Linked DNA regions of Coturnix japonica. The protein of the gene in region 6 interacts with the protein of the main gene of each other region in a biochemical or structural test. Links are inferred from orthologs where the notes say so. Each region holds a gene or a part of one and is shown on either strand. Other genes may lie near its edges. The genes, in order: CASKIN1, SDC2, CNTNAP2, CFTR, plasma membrane calcium-transporting ATPase 4 and CASK.

Region 1 (3,944 bases), on a different chromosome or scaffold from region 6:
AGATGGGGAAACTGAGGCACAGCACTGGGACAGCTGAACCTCTGCTGGGCTGCTCCTGCACACCTTGAGCCCATCAGGAGCCACAGGCAGAGTGCATGTTCTCCCTACACCACCCCATTCCCCCGCAGGACTTGCATACAGGGGGGCCATGAGGTGACACAACCCCCACCCTGCCCATGCAGCCAAGCGCCTGCCCTGGTGCTGCCCAGCATACCCACAAATTGCTCACACACACAGCCACGCTTGCATGCACACGCATTCTCAGATACACATCTGCACGCTGGTGTGCACCCATGCACACAGACACGTGCCCACGTGCAGGCTAGCAGAGCTGATGCACCAGCGGGAAGCAGGAATGGGTGCTCCCAAAACACCACTGCCACTCAGAGCATGAGGGGTGGGGGCTGGCAGAGCAACAGCACAGCACACCAGTGTCCTTCAGCCCTCATCTCCACTGCTATGCATGGCTGGTACACATAAAGCCACCTGCACATGTGCGGTCACGCTCATCTGCATTGCACCAACAAGCCCAGAACACCTGCATGAGATCTCCCATTCACTGCACCCCACAGCATGCAAAGCCCGTAGCATTCACACTCAATAGCATGCACACCCAGAGCAGGGTTGCGCTCACCCATCAGTGTCCTGGAAGTTGACGTTGACTCTCTTTGCTGATCCGAGGAGCTCTGGGAGAGAGGAAGAGCAGACAGCTCAGTTAATGAGGAGGCAGAGGCGGCACAGCTGGGCACTGTGTGTGCTGGGGAGGGTGACACAGCTGCTGCTGGGTTTTGCAATTTCTCCTGTAGGTTTTGCTGGCTAAAGCCCATGGCCAGATGCAACACAGGGCTGTGTGGGGCTGCCCCAAGCTTGTGGGCTGTTGCAAGCAGGAGGATTGAGGTCTGGACAGAAGGGTGGCCATGCACAGCATTTCAGGGACAGGAAAAAGCTGCTCCTGAAAGCATCAAAATGCCCAAAGCAAATGGCAACATGGGCGTCCCCCTGCTGGAGACGTGATGCTGCACTACCCACCACCACCTGCTGGCAGCCCCACAGCTGATATAGGATTTCCCTCCCATTCCCTTACCCACAGGACTCTGCCATGCCCCAAACCCCATAGTGCTGCCCACCTTCCTCTGCCCTGCCCCTGTGCAGACCCCACCTGTCTCCAACCAAAGGCACAGGGAAACGGAGACTCTTGCAGCAATCCAATTAAAGCAGCAAGGAGGGATGGAGTGAGATTTACATGAGATTTATCCACAAACGCCAGTCAGGCTTTTCAGTGAAAGTGCTCTTCCTCGTAACAGAGCAGGAACACAACAGAGCCATGGGGATGTGCATCACCTCTGAGCTCAGCTGTGGAACCATTCCTGGGGCCTCTAGGAGGAGGAGAAAGGCTGAAGGCCCGGCTGAGCTGCAGCTCTCTGGGGTGGGGGAGCACAGCCCAGGGCTGCGCAAGCAGGGGAGGGGAAGCGGTGACCCCAGACCACGGGGTGCCCACGTCACCCAGCTGCAGCCATCCCTGTGTGCAGTGCAGCGAGCAGGCAGCAGCACATCCCCATGCCTCGGGGAAATCATTCACTGAGGGTTGAGGAAGAGCAGATCAGCGGCTGCTCTTCTGCCTGGGAGCACAGCCAGGCAAGGTGCTGCAGCACAGGCACAGCCCTGCAAGGAGCGATTTCAGGTGGGGAAAGAGAGAACACCACGGATGAGCTGCTGAGTCCTCACTCATGCTGCAGGCTGCAATACTTATCAGCACCTGAACACAATATTCAATTATATGACACAAAAAGGCTGTGTCAGCACATTGGGCACAGCAGGATGCTTGCCAGGTGCGAGCAGCAGGCAGCTGCTGCCAGCCCACTACCACAAGGTCCACACATGCCAATGGCTCAGAGTGGGGTCCCAGCCCCCCAAAGGCACCCTGCTGTCACTGGGTCTCTTGGCATCCACCAGCACATTTTAAGGAGTGCAGAACTGGGGTGGGGGGGGGGCTTTACCCCCTTACCTGGAGCAGCATCGTGCCCTCAGCCTCTGCCCCATTCAATCACTGCAGCACAGGACTCACCGCAACACAGGTAAAGCCAGTGCTGAGCAACCAGAGCCTCTCCTGGCACGTAGAGCCCTGATTGAATTTTAAATCCCAGTCCCTGTGGCGCAGACAGGTCCAGGCGCATGCAGATGAGGCACCTGGGGATGGGGACCAGGCTCTGCCATCCCTGCCCATAGCCAGCGCTGTGCATGGCACTGACCCATGGGCCTCACAGCTTCATCCCAGCTACCTGACCCTTCCCTACAGAGGGACGGTACCAGGCACTGGGAGAAGTTTCTCTCTGCCCACGCGGATGCTGCCAAGCTCTGTGTGCCCCCGCTCCCTCCTGCGCTCCATCAGCTGCCAGACAGCCCAACAAGCCATACATTTGCTAACAACAGCGCAGCCCGGGGCCGATGGATGATAGATAAGGAGGATGACTTCTGAATAGCAACAAATAGCAGCTCCCATCCATCAGGTTCACAGCATCTCCTCCTGGTACACAGGGTGATCAGGCAGCTGCAGGGGGGGCAGCGGCACCAAAGGGTCCCCATGTGAGGGCCAGAGGCCCCCAGCACACCCTGGCCACACCACTTGCCCTCTTCCCAAAACCACACCTTTAGAATATGCCCCCCATGGCAGGGCAGCCCCCTTACCCTGGTAGCCCGCGTTCCTTAACACAGTAACAAAACCCTCCAGCAACAAATCCTCACTGGTGCAGCCAGACCTCAGGGATGTGGCAGCCCTGTGTCCCATCCCAGTTGCCGCAGAGTCTCCAGTACCAGGGCTGAGTGGGTGCCCGCCAGCCCAGGGCTGCTGCCAGGCTCCCCAACAAAGGTGCCATTCAGGGCTGGTGGAGAGGTGCCCAGGGCTGCTTCCGCTGCCCGCTGCTGCCCCAATGAGCTGCTCCCAGGAGAGGGGCCGAGCCATCCTGCGAGATGCAAATCGCCGGCGGACAAAGGCAGTGGGTTGGCACTCAACACTGGGTCCAGTCTCCAGCCCTGGCCCCAAGATGGGCCCCGCTCACGGGACAGACAGATGGACAGACGGACGAGCGGCAACAGGGCCTGCCCTCTCCCACAGGCTGCTCCCAGAGAGGGGCTTCCCCAGAGTTTTGACATTGCAGGGTGAGGCAGTGATGCCAAGGTGACGCCGATCCCTGCGCACCCGCTTTTGCAATCCCAGCTGGGATCAGCACAAGCTCATTTCCCAGCCAGCAGCTTCTAATTATCTCCTATTAAGACCCAAAGTGCCTTCTTTAAAACCAAATCAGGGATGCAGCTCCCCGAGGATGCAGCAACTCAGCCTCCAGCTGTAGGCAGGGAGCAGCAGTGCTGGTGGTGTGAGGGCCGGCTGCTATCACTGCTGTCCCTCACCCAGCCAGGGGCTGCTGTGTCTGCATGCAGGCACCTACACAGTGACAGCCCTGTCCCCACACAGGGCAGTGCCACATGGTGCCCAAGCTGCACCCCCAGCTTCGGCCAAACCTGTGCTGGCTGAATGCTGAATAAACCAGAGCAGAGAAACTCTCCTCTCTGCACCTGCAGAAGAGGCTGCCACTGCCAAAATCTGTTTAGCACTTCAATAAATGCTCGTGCCAAGTGCTTAGTCAGTGACTTCCAGCCGCGCAGCGGTTTGACTTTCGTTAAAGCTCTGGCAGCAGCGGAGCACCCGCCTCACCCCGGCAGGGCTGCAGCAAGTACAGACCCCAGCATGGCTCCTCAGCTTCAAACAGCTGGGAGACAGTTCACACTGCTGGGATACCATCCTCAGATGGGCTGCTGGAAATTGGAGCATCTGCCTGTGTCCCTGGTAGGAGCAGTTGTGGGTGGTCCTGTGACTCCCACAGTGTACCCCCAGGTGCTGCTGGCAGCCAGGTGCCCTCTGGCACAGGGATGGATTGAACGGATGATGG
Region 2 (4,018 bases), on a different chromosome or scaffold from region 6:
CACCGGCATGTGTGGGGTGCCTTTGTCTGGGAGAGGCTGGGAAGACGACAGACTGCGTGTGCTTAATTAACCACCTTTGGTTTTGTTTTTCTGTTTCCATAGCAGGGACTGGAGGCAGATGGGATCTCAGCACCACTCAAAGGCCAATGCAGGTAAGGCGATGGGCATGGAGAAGCACCTGCACTGGGATCCTCATGCTTCTTGCTTCCATGGGGTCCTCTGAGTGGGACAGGCTTGTCTAAGAGTGATCATTATGGTCCTTGTGACTACCTTAGTTTGGCTATAAACACAGCCTGAAGCTCAGAATTGAATCAAATGCAGTTGGTTGTAATCAAGAGCAATATTTCACCTTCCTGTGTCCAGTGACTGATGTAACACATGGATACGCTTGGCAGTGGAAACGCACTGGCACAGGTACCCGAGTCAGAACGATGCTCCTAAGCTCTGCAATACTACCACTTTCCCTGCATGATAAACACCATGGGCCAGTCCCAGCAAGACCTCTTGGCTTCGCTTCTGGAGTGCGCATCCTTGGTGCTGTCAATATTTGTTTTGAAGACATTCTTCCTGGCTCCATGTATGAGACACAAATCACAGCCACTCTCTTATTTCCTAAAAGTTTCAGGTCTTCTGAGAAAAGTCTGGGAAAAAAAGCAAACCAAAATGAGCTGCCATTTTGGCACCCATGAGCCTCATCCTTTTTGTTTCCCAGCACCTGATTGCTGCCTTCTAGGTAACTGGGGGAGGATGTGAGAGGCAGCGCGGCTCGGTCCGGCGGTTGAGGACACAGAGCAGAGGGAAGAATTCCCTTGAAATAAATAAATAACTATATGATAAAAAAGCAAGCAAGCAAACAAACAAACAAAAAACAGCAGAGGGAGACTTTCCAGGTCCCTGCTTCTATCCGGGTCCAGCCCTCTCATGTTTTCCACTGGGGGGGAGGACGGCAGAGTAGAGGATAGAGAGGGGGCGGTGGTTATTTTTTTTGGTGGAGGGGAAGGTGGAAAGTTGCTTGAATTTGCGAGGGGCGAGAGCCGGCGGCGGAGACGCGCCGCCTCCTTCCACTGGCTGGGGGAGCTGCCAATCTGTGTTGTAATCCTGCAGGAATTTCTGCGGGGTTTAACTGGGAGCCGCGCTGCCGCTGCCGCGCACACGGGGCGGAGGGCGGGAGGGAAGGAAGGAAGGAGAGGAGCGGGCGGCGAAGAAGAAGAAGAAGAAGGAGGAGGAGGAGGAGGAGAAGGTAGCAGCAGCAGCAGCAGCAGCAGCAGCAGCAGCAGCAGCAGCAGCCGGGCAGCGTTGTGCCGCCGGGCAGCGTTGTGCCGCCGGGCAGCGCGGAGCTGAACGCCGACAGCAGCGGAGCGGAACGGGCCGGAGGGCGCCCGCGGCCCTGCCCCGCGCCCCCGGGCGCTGCCGAGCGCAGCGGCCCCGCTTTCTCCTTTGTGCCCGGCCACAGGCGGCCGCCGCGCCGGCTCCTCGGGAAGAATGCGGTGCGTGTGGCTCGCGCTCACCCTCAGCTTCGTGGCCTGCGCCTCCGGGCAGCCGGTGAGTGAGCGAGCGGCAGGGCGGGGGGACGGGACAAGGACGGGACGGGGGCGGCCACCTGGGCTCCGTCCGCAGCGCTGCCCCCGAGGAATGTCCTCGATAGGAGCAGTGGGAGCGCCCCTCCAGACCCGACTTCACCGCGACGCCCCGACCCGAGGAGGTGCGGGTCCGCGTCCCCCCGGCGGCGCCTTCCCCCTGTTCCCCGCGGCTCGACAGGCTGCTACGGAGGGCACCTAATGAGTTAATTGGCCGTGGCTATGCGGCTCGGTACGCGCCCCATGACCCTCGCTTCCCCGCGGGGTGCGCGCCCATCCCGGCTGCCCTCCCCGCCCGGGCTGGCTGCGGATAATGCCGCTGTTTACGCTTCTCGCAGCCACAAGTGTCTCCTCTGAGCGGGGAACTCTGCTTAATGCAATTAACTCCGTTGTCGGGATTTGTACCTCCCGAAAAGCCGCTCCTCTGCGCAGCGCTCCCGCCCCGCGCTGCGGGCGGATCGGGAGAGGATTCGGGCTTCGCCGGCGGCGCTTCGGGACGGTGCCGGGGCGGAGGGGGATGGAGGAGGAGGAGGGAGCCGAGAAAAGAACGCGGTTACAGCGTTGGGACAAATATTAGGAAATAATAAATGGAGGTTTCAGTCCGAAATTAAAATACCGTGACAATTTAATCCAATTAAAATGAGCTGCTCCACTGAACTAAATAATGTCACCGGCTCGGGTTCGCTTTTGAAGTTGCCTGGCTATTGTATAAATAAGCCCCGTCGCAGCTTTCGTGCGGTCCGCCTCATCATTAGTGATTCCGAAGGATACAATTGCAAAACGCTTTTCTTGAGGGCTAATTAAGACCGAGTTGTGTCGAGCCCGGACTCCCGTTCCCGCTATGCGCGCTCCCCCTTGCTGTATGTTTTAGTTTCATAGGAACGCTACTGTTACGAAGTTCTCTGATGGCGGAGTAACTGCAACTGCCACAGTCATTAGTTAAGTATTAAGTTGGATGGTTTTGCCTTGGGATGAGCAGGCTCCTGCGGCTGGAACGGGGGGAGCCGTGCTGCCGGCCCTGAGCAGCGCCCTGACTGCTGCCAGAAAGTTGTGGGCAGATGGGAGAGGTGAAGGGAGGTGGATTTTTCTCCCCCCTCCTTTTTTCCTCTTTGGCGGCAGCTACGAGGTCCTTTAAGGAGGAGTTTTGTAGACTGGTGTCTGGGAAAAGACGGATGCTAAATCTTGTCTGTGCAGAACGCTGTCCTGGTCCTAAGTTGGATTTTATCTGGATGCTTACAACAACCCTGCAAGCTTTTGGAGTACTGACAAATGGTTTTAGCTCCTAAGTTCTTTTCCTTTGTTTGATTCTTGAAGAAGTATGTCCTGTGTTTGCTTCGTGTAACTACCAAGCCCCGCTATTTACTGGGGTGGACCCCGTTGGTGTTAATCACGTTAAAAACATACTGGGAATGTAGTAGGGAGCTGCGTGTCTGTGTGCCCTGGTGTTGGCTCTTGTGCTGCAGATGTACTGTGGTGTGCGGTGTCAGCTTGGCATCAGGATGCAGAGGGTGCCGGGCAGCTGTACCCTGTTGTGCCTGGCTGCAGGAGGTGGCAAGTGCCCACATCAGAGCTGGCAGATGGCACTGGGCTCACAGGGTACTTCGCTGTGCAGGGGGAGATGCTGGATATCAGTGGGGTCTGGTAACATCAGCAGATGTGAAGGCACTTTGAGACTCACCCAGGCTTGGGTGAATTGTGGAAAAGGTGTTCTTTCTGGTTCCCTTTTAGGAGAGGGAAAGAGAGTGATGTGAAAGTGCTGGAAAAAGAAAAGGCCAGCTCTCTAAGTGTGAGTCAGGTGTGTCTTTTATGAGGTTGGGTTCAGTCTTGATGATAGCAGGAGTCAACGCTTGCTGATTTTAATAGCAACAGAGAGCAGTGCCAAGTATCTCACTGTCCTTGTCAGTTCCCATTCTGCCGAGGCTGATAAACCTTTCTGCTTCTTTCTGCTCCTCATCAGTAGGACTAATGGCTTTCCAGGGCTTGTGTGATGCTCTGATCCTCTCCGCAAGCCAAGGTGGGTGCAGGGAAGACTTGCTGGCAAACAGGTTTCTGTGTGTGCTGCACTGTAATCCTGCTGCTCTCACAAATGGGAGAACAGTCGTGGCTCTCCTCCTGTGTAGTGGTGTATCTTGAGTCAAAGGACTCTGCTTCATGCCAACTCCCCAGCACTGTGTGCGTAGTGTTCTTTAAAATAGAGCACTGCAGCACCAACATCAACTATGTGGTCTGTCTGTTCCTTTTGTAAGCATCTAAGCACTGGATTGTTGACATATACGCTATTATTGAAGGATTACTTGGGTAATAATTTGTGTATTTTTGAGAAATATTTAATATTTTGGAAGCACGGTGCTGTAATTTTTTCTGCATTTGTTTCTAATCATTACTTTGCTTTTGGAATCTGGAAAATGGATCCCATGTTGGAGAGGGTGAATGTTTGTTTT
Region 3 (3,500 bases), on a different chromosome or scaffold from region 6:
TTCAAGGCTTATCACTTTATTATTTAAAAAAAAAAAACGTCATACTTTATATAACTTCAAATAAGTTTACTACAGAAGGGATAATAATATCAACAATAATATGCTACTTGATGTGCTCAAATTTGAAGTAATTATCTGTATTGTTTAAGGCATAGCTCTGATTTGTTCAGTTTGCAATTTGGAAGAATGTACAAACAATGGTTTTGAGATGCCGGTTACTTTCATGCTTCAGGGTTGTAAACTGAAAGCTGTTTTCTGCCCAATAATTGAATAATCTGAAACACTAACCCTTTTTAAAATTCTCCAAGAGCAGGTAGCATCTATGAGAGCAACTTAAATGTTAAGTGGCAATAGTTGTATGAGGAAATAAAGAGGGGAAAATAGCTGTGAATAAATATCAACACACCTGAGGGTACTTTTCGCATTCATTTCATTAGGGAATCTGCAAATTCGGTATAACCTAGGAGGTACCAAGGAGCCATATAACATTGATGTTGACCACAGAAACATGGCAAATGGACAGCCCCATACCGTTAACATCACACGGAATGAACGGGACATAATACTCCAGGTAAGCAGACAATGAACATGTTTTTATTCCATCTAGTTTATTGCTTGTAGCTTGTAACATTTTGTAATTTGATGGTATCCTTTCCCCTGGCAATATCAGTGCAATTTAGGAAATAAAAATACAGTAGATGGCATTCTGCTTGGAAATCCCACTCCTAGTACTTTAAAAAAAAAAAAAAAGAAAAAGAAAAAGAAAAAGCTATTCTCTCAATTGCATTGAGTCATACTTGCCCAAATCCTTGATCTAGTGTGATGACAGCTGGGATAATACATATGTCACTGTAGATGCTCAAGGACATCAGAAACATCTGAGTGGGAAATAACCTGAGGCTTAGGATAAACCTGCATTATTATGAAACACTAGCTGAAAAACAGGAGGATAACCTACAGCGTCTTAAATGGCAGTAGATACTGACACACAAGCAAGTAAATATCATTCCTTAAGACCTGCATCTGCAAATAAGAATGTCTTAAAATTTAAATTTACCCTGCTGTACAGTGAAATAGAAGAGCTGTTCACACAAGCAAAAATGACCTGATTCTTCAGTGTTTATTTGACAGGAGTCTAAGACAGGTGAGTATTACTAATGTACTTCTAGCCTACTCAGTTTTCAGTACTGCACCAACGGGAACTTTACCTCTTTGTATTTTAGCTCACAAATCTTAAAGATAATATCATAGTATTTAAATATCTGAGGAGAGCTCTGCACGAAGGAACCAGTATTTCTAGACAGCCTTTTCTGTATAGTCATTAACAGAACTCTGTTTTCATTCCCTGGCTGTCCAATCTACAAATACAGAGACTGCAGCAGTATATGAGAACAGTTTTGTTGGCAGGAGAGTCAGATAGATTGGATGGATTAATATGAATTTGATAGTTCATAAGAAGGAAATAAAAAACCAATAACAGATGAAATATAAATAGAGGAAGTCTCCTTGGGAACCAAGCCAAAAGTGTAGCTATCACAGTATAATCTACATACAGACTAAAATAGATCCCTGAAAGTTACTTTTTCAAGGCACTAAAATGAAAACTTTTCAGTGGATAACAATGTCATTTGAGTGAGGCTGCCAACTAAAATTAACACTATGTGTACTGGAGCTGAATTATCAGAAAACTAGGAAATTTATAAAATGACATATATACTGAAAACATATTGGTGACATTTATAACAGCTTTTCAGATTTTGGGAGGCCAGGGCTGTACTTTGATATATGCATCTTTCTCACATTCTGAAGCTTTTTTTTTTTCCCCTCTGTCTCTTACTGCTAGATGGAAGATAAAGAGCAATAAAGAGCCTTCTGTTATTAAGGGCTTAAATTTGGGAAATATGTGGCATGTATACTATGGAGTCATATGCAGCTGATTTAGATGGTTGCAAGACTAAATAAATTATTGATGGCTGACAGTTGGACAAGATGATCTTAGAGGTCTTTTTCAACCCTAGTGATTTTATGATTTGATGAAGAAATCAGATTAAATATTCTTCACAGTGAGAAATTACAAACTCAGTTAAGTATACCGGTTTTACATCATCTCACCTACATTTAAATTCTGATGATTTTTCTTCTCAGTGTATTATGTGGCAATTGTTACCTAGGGCTTTCAGGAGCAAGAAATGTTTTATTTAGAGTTTCGCTGCTGAGGTAAACATCTCTCAATCAGTCTGCCTGGAACATAGCTGTTTTATAGAATCGGGAAGAAGATTCATTTGAATCTTATTAAACTAGATGCACATAGAAGAATAGGGAAAGTAGGAAACCCATATTTTTTAAAAAATTAATAAATAAATCCAGAAATAGCACCCTTACTGTATCCTGAAAAAGCTTTCCATCCAATTTTGTTTGTTTTCCATAAAAGGGTATTTTTGTTACTTATCTGGTCACGTAAATGAGACAGGAACAAAGATGAATCTGTTAAGTATATTGTTCACTTGAAAATGAGTTGAGTACCACTTTCAAATATAAAATATATATGATAGCAATATAATTTTTCTCAGCAACCAGAGGACAGATCATAAAGTATGGCTTTTCTATTACAGATGTAAGCAGTGAACATTTAAGTAGACTTCTATTTCCCACTAAATTCTTCTCAAACCTGAAGAGTAGTTGGTTTGCTTACTTTCAAAGAAGGCAGCTTGCTTGCCAGGTGCTATTACTCACACTTACACATTTTATAAAATTATCACAGGAATGATCTATTTCTCATCAAATCTTCAAACCAAGAGCACTCAGTATTTCTGAAGTTCTTGCTTAAAATATCTGTCATTCTAACGTGCTATAATCTCACAGTGACAGAGATATTAAAAAAAAAATATCTGCACTGAGGCAATAAATTGCTATCACATGAACTACATGAACCAGTGCTTTTACAATTCTCATAGTGAAAAACTTGTTATTTTGAAGTATGAGACTTCATCCAGTGCTGGAAACAAGAAGATAACTGATAATTATTATCTGGCCAATTGGACTTTGAGTTTGTCATCTGAAATCTGGGAAGAAAACTCTCTAACTCCAATGTGATGTTAGAATGTGACATTCCTTTATTCCTCACAATACTTACCAAGCAACTCAATAAATCAAGAGCATGGGTGCTCTTACAGTTCAGGTTCTGCATTTAAACAGTGAAGACATACATATGCAATACATTGGGATACATATTTATTTTTCATAAAGAACTCCTTAATATTTGCTAATGTCCCTCTGTGCATATGCAGTTGCATCTAAGGTGGTCATACAACCACCTTCTTCCTCCTTGTTATTTCTCCTTCATCTTCATCACAGTGGCCAACCTGATAGCTGTTCTTCCACAATTTTCAAATTTCCATTGCTTGTTATGCAACTTTCTTTCTTGGTGCACTATAGCTCAAAACAATTTATATGGAACTCAAGAGAAAGTTCTTGCGCCTGGTGGATGCAAGGTATCAAGA
Region 4 (3,500 bases), about 79 Mb from region 6:
CAGGAACCTTATAGTACCTGAGCCAGCTGATTTAGCTCCTGTTATGTAAACTCCCAGAACCAGCATGATCAGTACATGTCTGAAGGAGCTGCCAATAGGCTGACTTATAATTCTACAAAATCTGAGTGCCAGGATGAGTTCTTGTTTATGTAAAACTGTACTCCCTGACTTTTATTTAGTATTATGTTTTTACAGTTAGGTCTTAATAGTTCTAGATGACTGACCTCTTCCAGTTGGCAGGCTTGGATGACACTCTTGTATCGGTATTCATCATAGGATACACCAAAAATGATGTTTTCTTTGATTGTTCCAGGCATGATCCAAGAGACTTGAGGAGAGAATGATATCCTTCCACTGTGTTTAATTTTACCCTGAGAAGGCTCCAGTTCTCCCATTATCAACATCAGAAGTGAAGTCTGAAAAATTGCGAATGGTTCGTATATCTGAGATCCGTACAACCACAAGAAATGCTAAACAAAGTAGGAATCACTTTAAAATAATAAGATGGTATTTTTGTTCTGTAAAATGCCCCTACATTCACTGATTTAGTGCAAGTCACAATTACTGAAGATCTCAATGATGTGTATGGTTCTGAAAGGCCTCCGAACAGAGAGAAACTAATTCACCGAACAAGAAAAACTGTATGGTGGCCTGTAAACAAGGCATGTGGCTGCAAAAGCATGCACTTTTAAGTAAACTGATAGCAAGGTAAAAAATGTGAATCTCTATAGGAGACATATGGATGTCGGGTATTTGAACTTATGGTGAATGTTATTTGATTTTTAACATCACTGCCTATTTTGCTTGTTCTTTGTACAACACAGTTCATGTTTACAACCTTGCTGATGTTTATAGCCCTTTTTCTGTGTTGCCTTGAAAAGTGTGATATCTCTGTGGATGTAATTGCTCACCAACTGCTCAGTGTGATCTGAAGTCTTGTCTGTAACTGTTAACTCATTTACGTGAGTACATGACCTATGCATATTTGCTGTTTCCCTTCATAAAAGAATTGATTGCAATTTCAGCACTAACATGTTATAATTTCAAAGTTAATCAGTAGCTTGTAGTAACCTTGTCACACATCACTAGCTACTTGATCAAAGAACAGAGTTGAGAAATACAAGGAAAAATATGTTTCAGAGGCATTCCAGTGGTGTTCTTATCACAAATAAACAGTCAACAAAGCTGGGACATAACAGCCAAAGATCTAAAAATCTATCTAAGACACAATTTTTTGTTCTCAAGCAAAAAGATCCTTTGAGAAGTTATACAGTATGCAGTGGGAGTATCATGAAACATCTTCCCATCGTACCAGATCTTCAATTTTCCTAAAAGCTGAGTAAGAAGTTTCTGAACTTGCAAAGGATAATCTCTTAGGATGTTCTGTACACTGCATGTTGAGCTACAATATCTTATGTCATAGTCTTTAAAGTGAGCTGACATCAGGCTTCATAGCACAGATAGAAGAAATAAGCACACACTCTGTTCCATAGGCCTGACAATCCCTGGAATTTGCAATACCAACAAGAAGAAAGAAACCCTACACTGAGAGGATGGAAGGAAAGGAGAGGCTTCTTTTGTTGGAGCGACAAGTGTAAATCTTATGTTACATTTGCCTTTCAGATAAAATTTGATCTTTTCATCTGTATTGCCTGGAAAAATGCAGATTTCTTGTAGATATATAATTGCTTACAGCACAGCGTGATTTGAATTTTCCTAAGCAGCTTAATAAATGGAATATATCAACAATGTCCTAAACTAACTGACATTTTGTATTACAAGTATGAGCTTCAGCAACAGCCATCTTAGATTAATAATTCAGCAATATAATAAAATTCTTCTGTTCATTCAGAATTATCACAGTAAAAATGCATACCAGCATTTTAAAATGCATACCAGGACAACCTCATGTATTTTGTGTTGGTATCATTTCTGAAAAATAATATTGAAGCCTTGACCCTTTTGAAATTGATAGGTCCTCTGCCACTGACTTCAACAAACCAAACACTTCACACAGAATCACAGAATGGCTGAGACTGGACAAGACCTCTGGAAGCCATCTGGCCCAACACCTGATTGCTCGATTAAGAACACCTAGAGCTGCTCAGTACAATGTCCAGATAGCTTGTGAAAATCTCCAGAGGGGAATCCTCCTCATCCAAAGGAGTCCTGATCAGTGAAAGTAAATGAAGTCAGAATACTTTCAACAATAATTTGTTAAATGGGAAAAGTTGACAAATCCATAATTAACTTTTTCTTTTATTTCACGCCTTCTCAGAAGGCTCCCTGAAGATCAAATACTTAATCTAATTCTTTATCTAATCCTTACAGCTTCCAGTGAATATAAGTATTACAGTTCAGTGTATTTTATAAGGTACACAGTTTAGTGAGAACTACTGGTGATAGGTGGAGGGCTGGACTGGATGATCTTGCAGGTCTTTTCCAACCTTGGTGATTCTATGATTCTATGATAGTACCAAGGTCAATTGGATATGCTATCTGCAAACAAAATGCATTTATAACATTTTCCAGATCTAAGATGATGATTTATCTAAACCACAACTTCTCAGTACTCCACCTGTTTGAACAGCACCTCCCCAAACTTGTCCTCCAGGGTTTCACCTGGAACTGAGAGCATGAGCTCAAGCTCGGTACTGAGTGATCTGGAATCTATACAATGAGGTATGTCACATATACAGAGTATGTATCATAGTTACTTGGCTAATTAGTGCCATGTTTGTCAGATTATTGACCACTTTGTTTTCAAATTTTTCCTTAAAATTTTAGCAAAGCAGGACAAAGCCCTGCTTTCAGGCACCCTGAGCGATCTGGGTGTTCAGGTAACGTTCTCCAGTGCACTATTAAAACAGGCAGGGAGATGTTCATCATGATCACCAGCTTAAGGTTACAGTCTGCATTACTCCTGCAAACCTCCTTCTAGTTCCTAAGGAAAAATAGATTTGTAATTTCAATTGGTATTTCTCTACTAAGCCTATATCCTTGTATGTACAAAAACTATCCAGCAGACTCCTCTTCACATTAACCACAGAGTAAAATTTAAAATAAGTATGGATCATTTTACTGAAATATATTTTATTCATACATTCTTCCTGCTGCTGCTACTTTTAGAGAGGGCACAGATTACCACAAGTCCACTAACAATACCAACAACACGAAAATAATCCTTAAAATTCTGTTGGAGCAACAGAAAGAGAAATACCTTGCCTGATCCAGTAGATCCAGAAACAGCTAATAACTCTCCTTTCTCGATCTTAAAATTTATATCCTGAAGAACAGGAGAAGCATGAAGGGGAAAATTGCTGAAGAAGAGATTGTTGTCATTGCTAGGAGCTTTGCTGTTGTTGTTTTCTTGTTTTGCTTTTACAAAGAGCTCTCCAATTCCCTGCAACATACATATTGGTGTGTTTGTACGTACACAAAAAATGAACACAACATACATATGCAGACATGTATATCATACTATATATGAATATATATGA
Region 5 (3,500 bases), on a different chromosome or scaffold from region 6:
AGAGGCTCCTGGACCAGGAGCACAGCTGGGTGATGGGCTGTCAGAGCCACATGGGGGCCACAGTACCTCTGGCCGCACAGGGTCCTCTATCCCCACCACAGCAATGCACGTCAGGTCAGACAGGATCTCATTCTCACTGTCCCAGTCAGGCTCAGTGTCAGCAGGGAAGTCACGGAAGGCCAGGCAGATGGTCCGCAGCCCATGGCAAGCCATAGGCTCAATCACCTTCTTCACCATCTCATCTCGATCCTTCACTTTGAACATCCGGGGGTCACCATTCTTGTCCAGAATCTTGGTGCACCTACCACAGGACAGGACAGGAGAGTAAGGGAGACTGCTTGTGGCTGTTCAGCAGTCCCCTCCTTCCACCACCCAGTTTCCCCCATCTGTAAAATGAGTACCTCTCACCCAGTACCCCTATAGCCTTACTAGAGACACCCTAAAAAGAGCTAACACTTTGCACAGCAGCACTTCCTGATGCTCACACTTTCTTTCCCCCCTCCTCAAGCACTGGGTCCCCTTCACCCTGCAATCCCCCAGAACAGCTCAACACCGCTCTGAGAGCTCAAAGTCCATGGGGCAGGTGGGTTGGGGAGAGGACTCAGCGTGGAGGGGGGGGACGACAGTTACTTGCGGAGGATGATCTCAGAGGCTCCCTTGCTGTACATGCGGAAGCTGTTGTCACTGTTCTTGAGTACTGTGCTCATGGACTTGCGCACAGAGTTGAAGGTATAGACTTTGTACAGCTTCTCCTCTGGCACCTCATTCCGCACAGCCTGATAATCCTGCTTCAGGTCCAGCACAAAGCCCAGCAAGGCACACTCTGTCTTGTTCCCCACTTGCCGGGGTAGCCCCCCTTCCTTCTCTGGTGGCTGGAGGAAAAAGGGAAAGGAAAAGAAATGTCAAACCTGGGCACTGCAGAACACAGTGGGATGGAAGCAGTAGCGATGGCCAACAGTGGGAACGTAAGGCTGTGGTTCTCAAGAGCCAACTCACCAGGATCTTGGATGTGTAGGCAGAGTTGATGGCAACACCATTGACAATGAGGTCCAGGACCTTGGGCAAGATGGCTTCAGGGTCAGGAATCTGGCGATAGTGGGTGTCCCCCACGTAGGCCTGCACCACAGTCATTCGGTTCATTGTGAGCGTGCCGGTCTTGTCTGAGCAGATGGCAGTGGCATTACCCATGGTCTCACAAGCATCCAAGTGCCTCACAAGGTTGTTGTCCTTCATCATTTTCTGCAGCATGACCAGGAAGGTTAAAGCCAAAAGCCTGAACATTCCCATCACACTTCTCCACACCCACCATGCCCCTACTGGTCTCACCTTCACTGAGTAGGCCAGGGAGATGGTGACTGCCAGTGGGAGCCCTTCAGGCACAGCCACTACCAGCACGGTGACACCGATGATGAAGAACTTGACAAAGTACTGGATGTAGATGGGGGTGCATTCTGCCAGCCAGGGCCGACGCTGTACCCCAAAGGTGTCGATGACAAAGTACAGCACCAAGATGATCACCGTGATGGCTGACATAATCAACCCTGGGAGAGGATGCCAAGCAGCAAGTGAGGGGACACAGGGATGGCAAGCAGGGATCAGCCCCCTCCCACTGTCCCACCTCCAGTGAGACACCCGGGGTGATGGCTCACCTGCCTTCCCAATCTGGACTGCAAGGCGCGTCAGCTTCCCTTGGAGCACAGACTTCTCCTTCTTGGGCACCTTCACTTTCTTCTTCTCCTTCTCCTCATTTTCCACCCCTTCCTGGCTCTTCAAGGGTTGGATCTCTAAGGCCACACCATCCTGAGTTTTAGCTACAGCCCCAGGGCAAAATAAGACACCACGTGTGAGTAGGAGAGAGACCAGGGAGATCTGCAGGACACCACTGAGAAATACGGTGGTGGGAAAGAGAGAAAACCCAGAGCACAAACCATCCTCCATGACACACATATCCGAGCACATGGAAATCTCTTGTCCTGGGGCCCTGTTGCCTCTCTATGGGGCAGTCTTTACATCTACCCCATGCCCCAGCCCCATGCAGGAAGGGTCCTGGGGCTGACGCTGGCTATGGGTCACAGAAGTGCTGCCAGAGATCCCTAACCTGGCTGCCGGGCACAGGCAGGACATCTCCAACCTCTCCCCAGCTGCTTCACACCCTGCAGCACAAGAAAAGCATGCTGGGTTTGCCCCAAAGCAGCTCCAGTGCACCAGCAGACCCCACCCCAGCTACAACACAGTGGGTCAAGCTTGTAGAGGACTTCTCTCTGCTCTGTACCCCTCTTCTGCGGTTTAATGCCCTTTTTAAAGCCCTTCTGGAGGCTCAGCAGGAATCCATTACATATAAGAGCACTGGAGAGGTGAGATGGAGGAGAACAGTTAAGACATTCCAAAGGAGTTGAAAGAGGAGTGAACCAGCTCCTACAATCCCAGCCCCAAGCTGTCCATTATGTTCTTAGGACCCAAAAAGGCCAGGCTTCCGTAGCCCAGCTCCATGGCCTCCCCTCAGCTAAAAAATCCCAGCTGGGTTGGGCGGCATGGGGTGGGATGGTGGAGCAAAGGCTGAGATCTGCTGGGCTGGGGGAGCAGCAAAACCACCCCACAGCAGCCCCAGGACCCATCCCCTCCTGGCAGCCACTGCTCAATGGTCAGAGACAGCCCCAGGCTGCCCTGACACCTCCACAGTTACAACAACACGGACAAAACAAGCACCCAGACACATCTGGCAGGAAGGAGGGCAAAACTGCTGAGAGGAAAGAAAGAGAGAGGGGGGTGGAGAGAGAGGTGCAGAAATGGGCTTCCTCCACAGCCTGCAAAGAACAGGGTGAGAAACACCGGCGAGGAGACGCTCACGGAGTCGAGGCCATGGGAGGAGAGGGTGCAACCACCACACAGGCCGGGTCTCACAGGAGATTTATCCCAGGAGGATGTGACCTGTGCCTCTTGCCCCACCATGCCAAAATACACACCCTGCAGGAAAGCAGCACAAATGCTTCAGAGCCACTAGGTCATGTCAATAGGGACTTGCTTTGCACCAAGGGATGCTGTGCCAGCAGTCTGAACTGCCAGGAATAGGCTTGTCTTCCCTTCCCAAAGACTGCGCCCCAAGCAGAGGCCATGGGGCATTGATCCCATTGTGCCGGAGCTGTGGGACCATTGCACCCTCTCCCAGGAAAACGAGGCGAGAGTCCCGCCAGAGTAGCAAAGAGCACAGACTCATGAGAAGAAGGAAGGAGGAATGCTTTGTAGTTAGTGTGGTGCTGGTTCAAAGGATGGAGAGGCTGGTTACCTTTGTTGCGATTTTCAGGGGCTCCGGTTTTTTTACCTGTTCAAAGAGAGAAAGGGTGCAGGGCTGAGCACACAGACCAGACAGAGGGATAGGAAGGGTCAGCCCTCCTCCAAGGGGCTACACATACTGCTCCAGCAGCACCTCTGCTGTGGGCTCACTGTCATCAGGCACTGAATGCGGGACCCCAGACAGCTCACCTCACCTGCCAGAGGCAATC
Region 6 (3,500 bases):
TTTCATAGTACAGTTCACAACTACAACTATGTGATAAATAATGTCACTGTGACTTCACGTGGCGTGCTGCAAAGGAATGAGTATGTCCGGGGAGGAGCAGAGAATACGTTGAGCTAATTTTGTTTCTGGAGACTTTGTATCAATTAAACCCTCATCAATGGACAGTAATATAGACATCACAATCTTGACAAGAGGGAGTCATTTTGGAGGAGGTTGACAGACGTTTGATTGCATGATTTGATGGCCTTAGAGCTTGCCTATGGTAGTGCTTTTGGAAACTTCTCGTCAGAGTTTGCCAAAAATTAGAAACGTGAACCTTTGAAGTGGTCATAATCATTAAAACACATTCATTTCAAAGTAACAGTATGACACTTGCCCTTCCCCTAGGAAGTCAAAAAGTTAATCAAAGTACAAATTGGGATTTATATTTCACTTAGCAACGTTATTGGTCATTGTATCCTTGAGGTACAAAAGTTGATGCCAATAACATTCCAGAGAATTAAGAAGTACGTAGATATTAAGAGGATCACTGAATTGATGTCATGCTTATGTGAATGTATTACATTTAATGAACTCAGTACTGAATTTACCATCTCTGAAATATCACGTGGTATTGTTAGTCAGAAATACTGCAACATTACTTTTTGCAGATTTTCAGTGTGTGTGTTTCATAATTAAAAACATGTCTTCAGCAAGTATATTCTCCTTTATAAGAAAAATAACTCATCTAATTTTACTTTCCTCCATACTTGATAATAGAATAGCGTGTCCTTCAAGATACATCTTCTAGATCATACTTCTTATCATTGTAAAATCTGTTTGGAACCAAAACCTACAGGAAAAACAAAAATCATTTAAGATTCATTAGCATTTCTATAAATGCTCCAGAGATTATCTCTAGAGATATACTGCAGTGATATTTACATTTTTAAAAGTGTTGTTGCAGGACTTCATAAAAGAACGCTCTTCAGAACATACTAGAACTATGTGTCATATTATGCATAATGTAAAAATTGCCAAGCTTTTATAAAATATGTTTATCATTTCTTAATGTGATTTATTTGCCTCGTGTTTAGACTACTGCATGGTAAAGTTTATTTTGTGCATATACTTTTTATTTTACTAATATATTACAAGCCATATCTCAATGACCCCTGTACATTTTTCATGCTGTCTTACTCCCAATGGCCTCTGTGCATGTAAGTAACCTGTCAAGTGACAATGCCTCTTTATTTGCTTCTTACTGTTTCCTTTCAAAACTCCTTTTCTTTACTAGCTAGTAACACAGGAGTATTACAAGTTCAGTCTTTATATGTATCCCGTATTCCTCATATCTTGTGTATATTTTTTAAATATTCATTTTTCTTTTGTGCTTGAAAACCCTACAATCATTAGGTAACTCCATGTAGACTGAGACATATCTTCTTCATGCTACTAATTTGTGATGGAGGCATTAATATGTGCCATTTCTGTTGTTTGCTCCTGTTGTTTGTATCTAACATAACATGGTTTTGTTCAAGAAAAAATAAAGGATTGACTTTTTTTAACGGGAGAAGACACCTTTCCCAGTAGATAGTTAGAATGGTAAAGCTAGAATGGTTAGAATGGTAAAACTCTTCAACATGTTGTAGATCTTTATATCTTTCTGATATGAAATGAATTTAGTTAATTTAGTGCAAAGTTGCAAAAATGAAGAATTCCATGCTGGTAATTTGTGGAAAGGAAGAAAAAATATGACTAACTTCTTGCTTGTTTTATCTTGTAATATTTGGGGAAAGGTTGAAAGAGGTTTTTCTTCATCATGAAGTGCAAAATGCTTCAAAGGAACTTAGGAAGTTTTCAAATGCATACCTTTTCAAGTCCTTAAAGAGTCAAGTGTGTCAATTGACTAATTTGTATTTGGACTAAATTAAAGTAATTGCACTTTTTTCTAGGGTGGAAATGGTGCCATTGGGTTTAACATCTGCCCTATAAAAGGAAATGTTAAACCCTTTGTTGCTTTGACTGTAGTACAAAGCATGTGCTTTCTGATAGGCTCTGCAGTCAGAATGTCTTCAGACTGTGGAGGTTGGTGACAACTGGAGCAAGCAAACACAGGCTCCTACCCCTGCCTACCTAACTATAGGGGTACCTAACCATGAGGAGGAGAGAAATACATCCAAATTTTTTCTTTAAAAAATTAAATTTAAAAAAAATAAAAGAGAGAGAGAGATGGACAGGATGTAGTTGAAGTGAATACGCCACTTTGGGACTTGGAAACACTCAAAAATGTCATACTTAAGATGCAGTCTCTCCCTTCTGTTTACAGCGCATTCAAATACAGAACTGTAAACTCTTGCAAGTTATTATGTTCCTAACTTCTGATTGTTCTGATCTTTAAAAATATAATCAACTGCCTCCTGGCTTTTTATTTTTTTCTTTTAATCAAAATTCTATAAAAATGGCCACAGATCTTGTTGGGCAAAGTAAGAAGTTGTTTTTATGAACAAAACTTGATTTGTCAATCATTACTTATCTTGGCAATTCACAGTAGATTGATAGGCATGATGAAATTCATTCACTGCAGTTGAAATCATTTCTGAAACAATACTTTTACAATTTTTCCCTAAATATGGTGGAGGTTCTTTTATGTAACGTCATCACTTTCTGTTAAACTTTTTTGTTCTATCAAAAGTTTTAAAAGCATGTCAATTTAACGAGCACGTGTGTTCAAAGAGAACTCTAATTACAAATAACGTGTTTTGAAGAAGAAATACCACAAAGAATTAAACCTTAAAAATCATGATTACTCAAAGATCTCGTTAAACATGAACGTGAAAGTATCCATATCTTCAGTGTAAATAGATGTTCTCATACTATATTCATGTTGGTCACTGTCTACAGATTTTCTTTAGTATTGCTACTTCTTAGGAATGCAAATGTAAATAGCATGCCTTTTTAGCTGATTTTTGTGGTCTGCTGAATTCTGCATGAAAGGACATGCAAGTTTTCCTGAGCATTTCAGTAGCTGTGTTATTGCTTTTTAACAGTTTTCTTAATGGACACTTTTCTTAAAATTACTTAAGGAAATGGTTTTACTTTCCATAGCATATTGCTTTGTATTGTGAATCTAACACTTGCTAAAATGACAATTTGTAGCACAGTTTATTATCATCCTTAATAATGATGTTTTTTCTTATCCCTCTGGGGGTTTCTTTTGTGTTTTAGTGTTTGATCAATTAGATCTCGTCACATATGAAGAAGTAGTAAAACTGCCAGCATTCAAAAGGAAAACGCTAGTCTTACTAGGTAATTTTGAGTTGTTATTTCAAACGTAAGAGCATAATTATTAACATCTTGTGGCAGAAAACTAATGGATGATTTTTGTGTTGTGGGTTAGGTGCACATGGCGTTGGAAGACGACACATAAAAAACACACTCATCACAAAACATCCGGACAGATTTGCGTACCCCATTCCTCGTAAGTAGCAATGTTCTATGTAGTGCAAAATTGTATGTAG

Evidence for each region.
Region 1: the proteins of CASK (region 6) and CASKIN1 interact in a biophysical measurement, tested with the Homo sapiens proteins (2 studies listed by IntAct, with this or other methods). The link is inferred for Coturnix japonica from reciprocal best matches to the Homo sapiens genes CASK and CASKIN1.
Region 2: the proteins of CASK (region 6) and SDC2 form a complex in vitro, tested with the Homo sapiens proteins (2 studies listed by BioGRID and IntAct, with this or other methods). The link is inferred for Coturnix japonica from reciprocal best matches to the Homo sapiens genes CASK and SDC2.
Region 3: the proteins of CASK (region 6) and CNTNAP2 form a complex in vitro, tested with the Homo sapiens proteins (2 studies listed by BioGRID and IntAct, with this or other methods). The link is inferred for Coturnix japonica from reciprocal best matches to the Homo sapiens genes CASK and CNTNAP2.
Region 4: the proteins of CASK (region 6) and CFTR interact in a test that uses a peptide from one of them, tested with the Homo sapiens proteins (2 studies listed by IntAct, with this or other methods). The link is inferred for Coturnix japonica from reciprocal best matches to the Homo sapiens genes CASK and CFTR.
Region 5: the proteins of CASK (region 6) and plasma membrane calcium-transporting ATPase 4 form a complex in vitro, tested with the Homo sapiens proteins (2 studies listed by BioGRID and IntAct, with this or other methods). The link is inferred for Coturnix japonica from reciprocal best matches to the Homo sapiens genes CASK and ATP2B4.

The regions. Positions count from the first base shown.
Region 1 is NC_029529.1:6,408,843-6,412,786, forward strand, and holds the start of CASKIN1 (caskin-1), read right to left. Parts: upstream 2,801-3,944; 5' UTR 2,786-2,800; coding exon 2,686-2,785; intron 687-2,685; coding exon 635-686; intron 1-634.
Region 2 is NC_029517.1:114,934,648-114,938,665, forward strand, and holds the start of SDC2 (syndecan-2), read left to right. Parts: upstream 1-1,218; 5' UTR 1,219-1,482; coding exon 1,483-1,542; intron 1,543-4,018. UniProt on the Homo sapiens protein: Cell surface proteoglycan which regulates dendritic arbor morphogenesis.
Region 3 is NC_029517.1:75,239,215-75,242,714, forward strand, and holds part of CNTNAP2 (contactin-associated protein-like 2), read left to right. Parts: intron 1-437; coding exon 438-571; intron 572-3,500. UniProt on the Homo sapiens protein: Required for gap junction formation. Required, with CNTNAP1, for radial and longitudinal organization of myelinated axons.
Region 4 is NC_029516.1:22,096,302-22,099,801, forward strand, and holds part of CFTR (cystic fibrosis transmembrane conductance regulator), read right to left. Parts: intron 3,404-3,500; coding exon 3,221-3,403; intron 417-3,220; coding exon 225-416; intron 1-224. UniProt on the Homo sapiens protein: Epithelial ion channel that plays an important role in the regulation of epithelial ion and water transport and fluid homeostasis. Mediates the transport of chloride ions across the cell membrane.
Region 5 is NC_029541.1:4,896,788-4,900,287, reverse strand, and holds part of plasma membrane calcium-transporting ATPase 4, read right to left. Parts: intron 3,320-3,500; coding exon 3,284-3,319; intron 1,812-3,283; coding exon 1,650-1,811; intron 1,542-1,649; coding exon 1,327-1,541; intron 1,240-1,326; coding exon 997-1,239; intron 873-996; coding exon 631-872; intron 302-630; coding exon 67-301; intron 1-66. UniProt on the Homo sapiens protein: Calcium/calmodulin-regulated and magnesium-dependent enzyme that catalyzes the hydrolysis of ATP coupled with the transport of calcium out of the cell. By regulating sperm cell calcium homeostasis, may play a role in sperm motility.
Region 6 is NC_029516.1:100,923,251-100,926,750, forward strand, and holds part of CASK (peripheral plasma membrane protein CASK), read left to right. Parts: intron 1-3,207; coding exon 3,208-3,288; intron 3,289-3,379; coding exon 3,380-3,460; intron 3,461-3,500. UniProt on the Homo sapiens protein: Multidomain scaffolding Mg(2+)-independent protein kinase that catalyzes the phosphotransfer from ATP to proteins such as NRXN1, and plays a role in synaptic transmembrane protein anchoring and ion channel trafficking.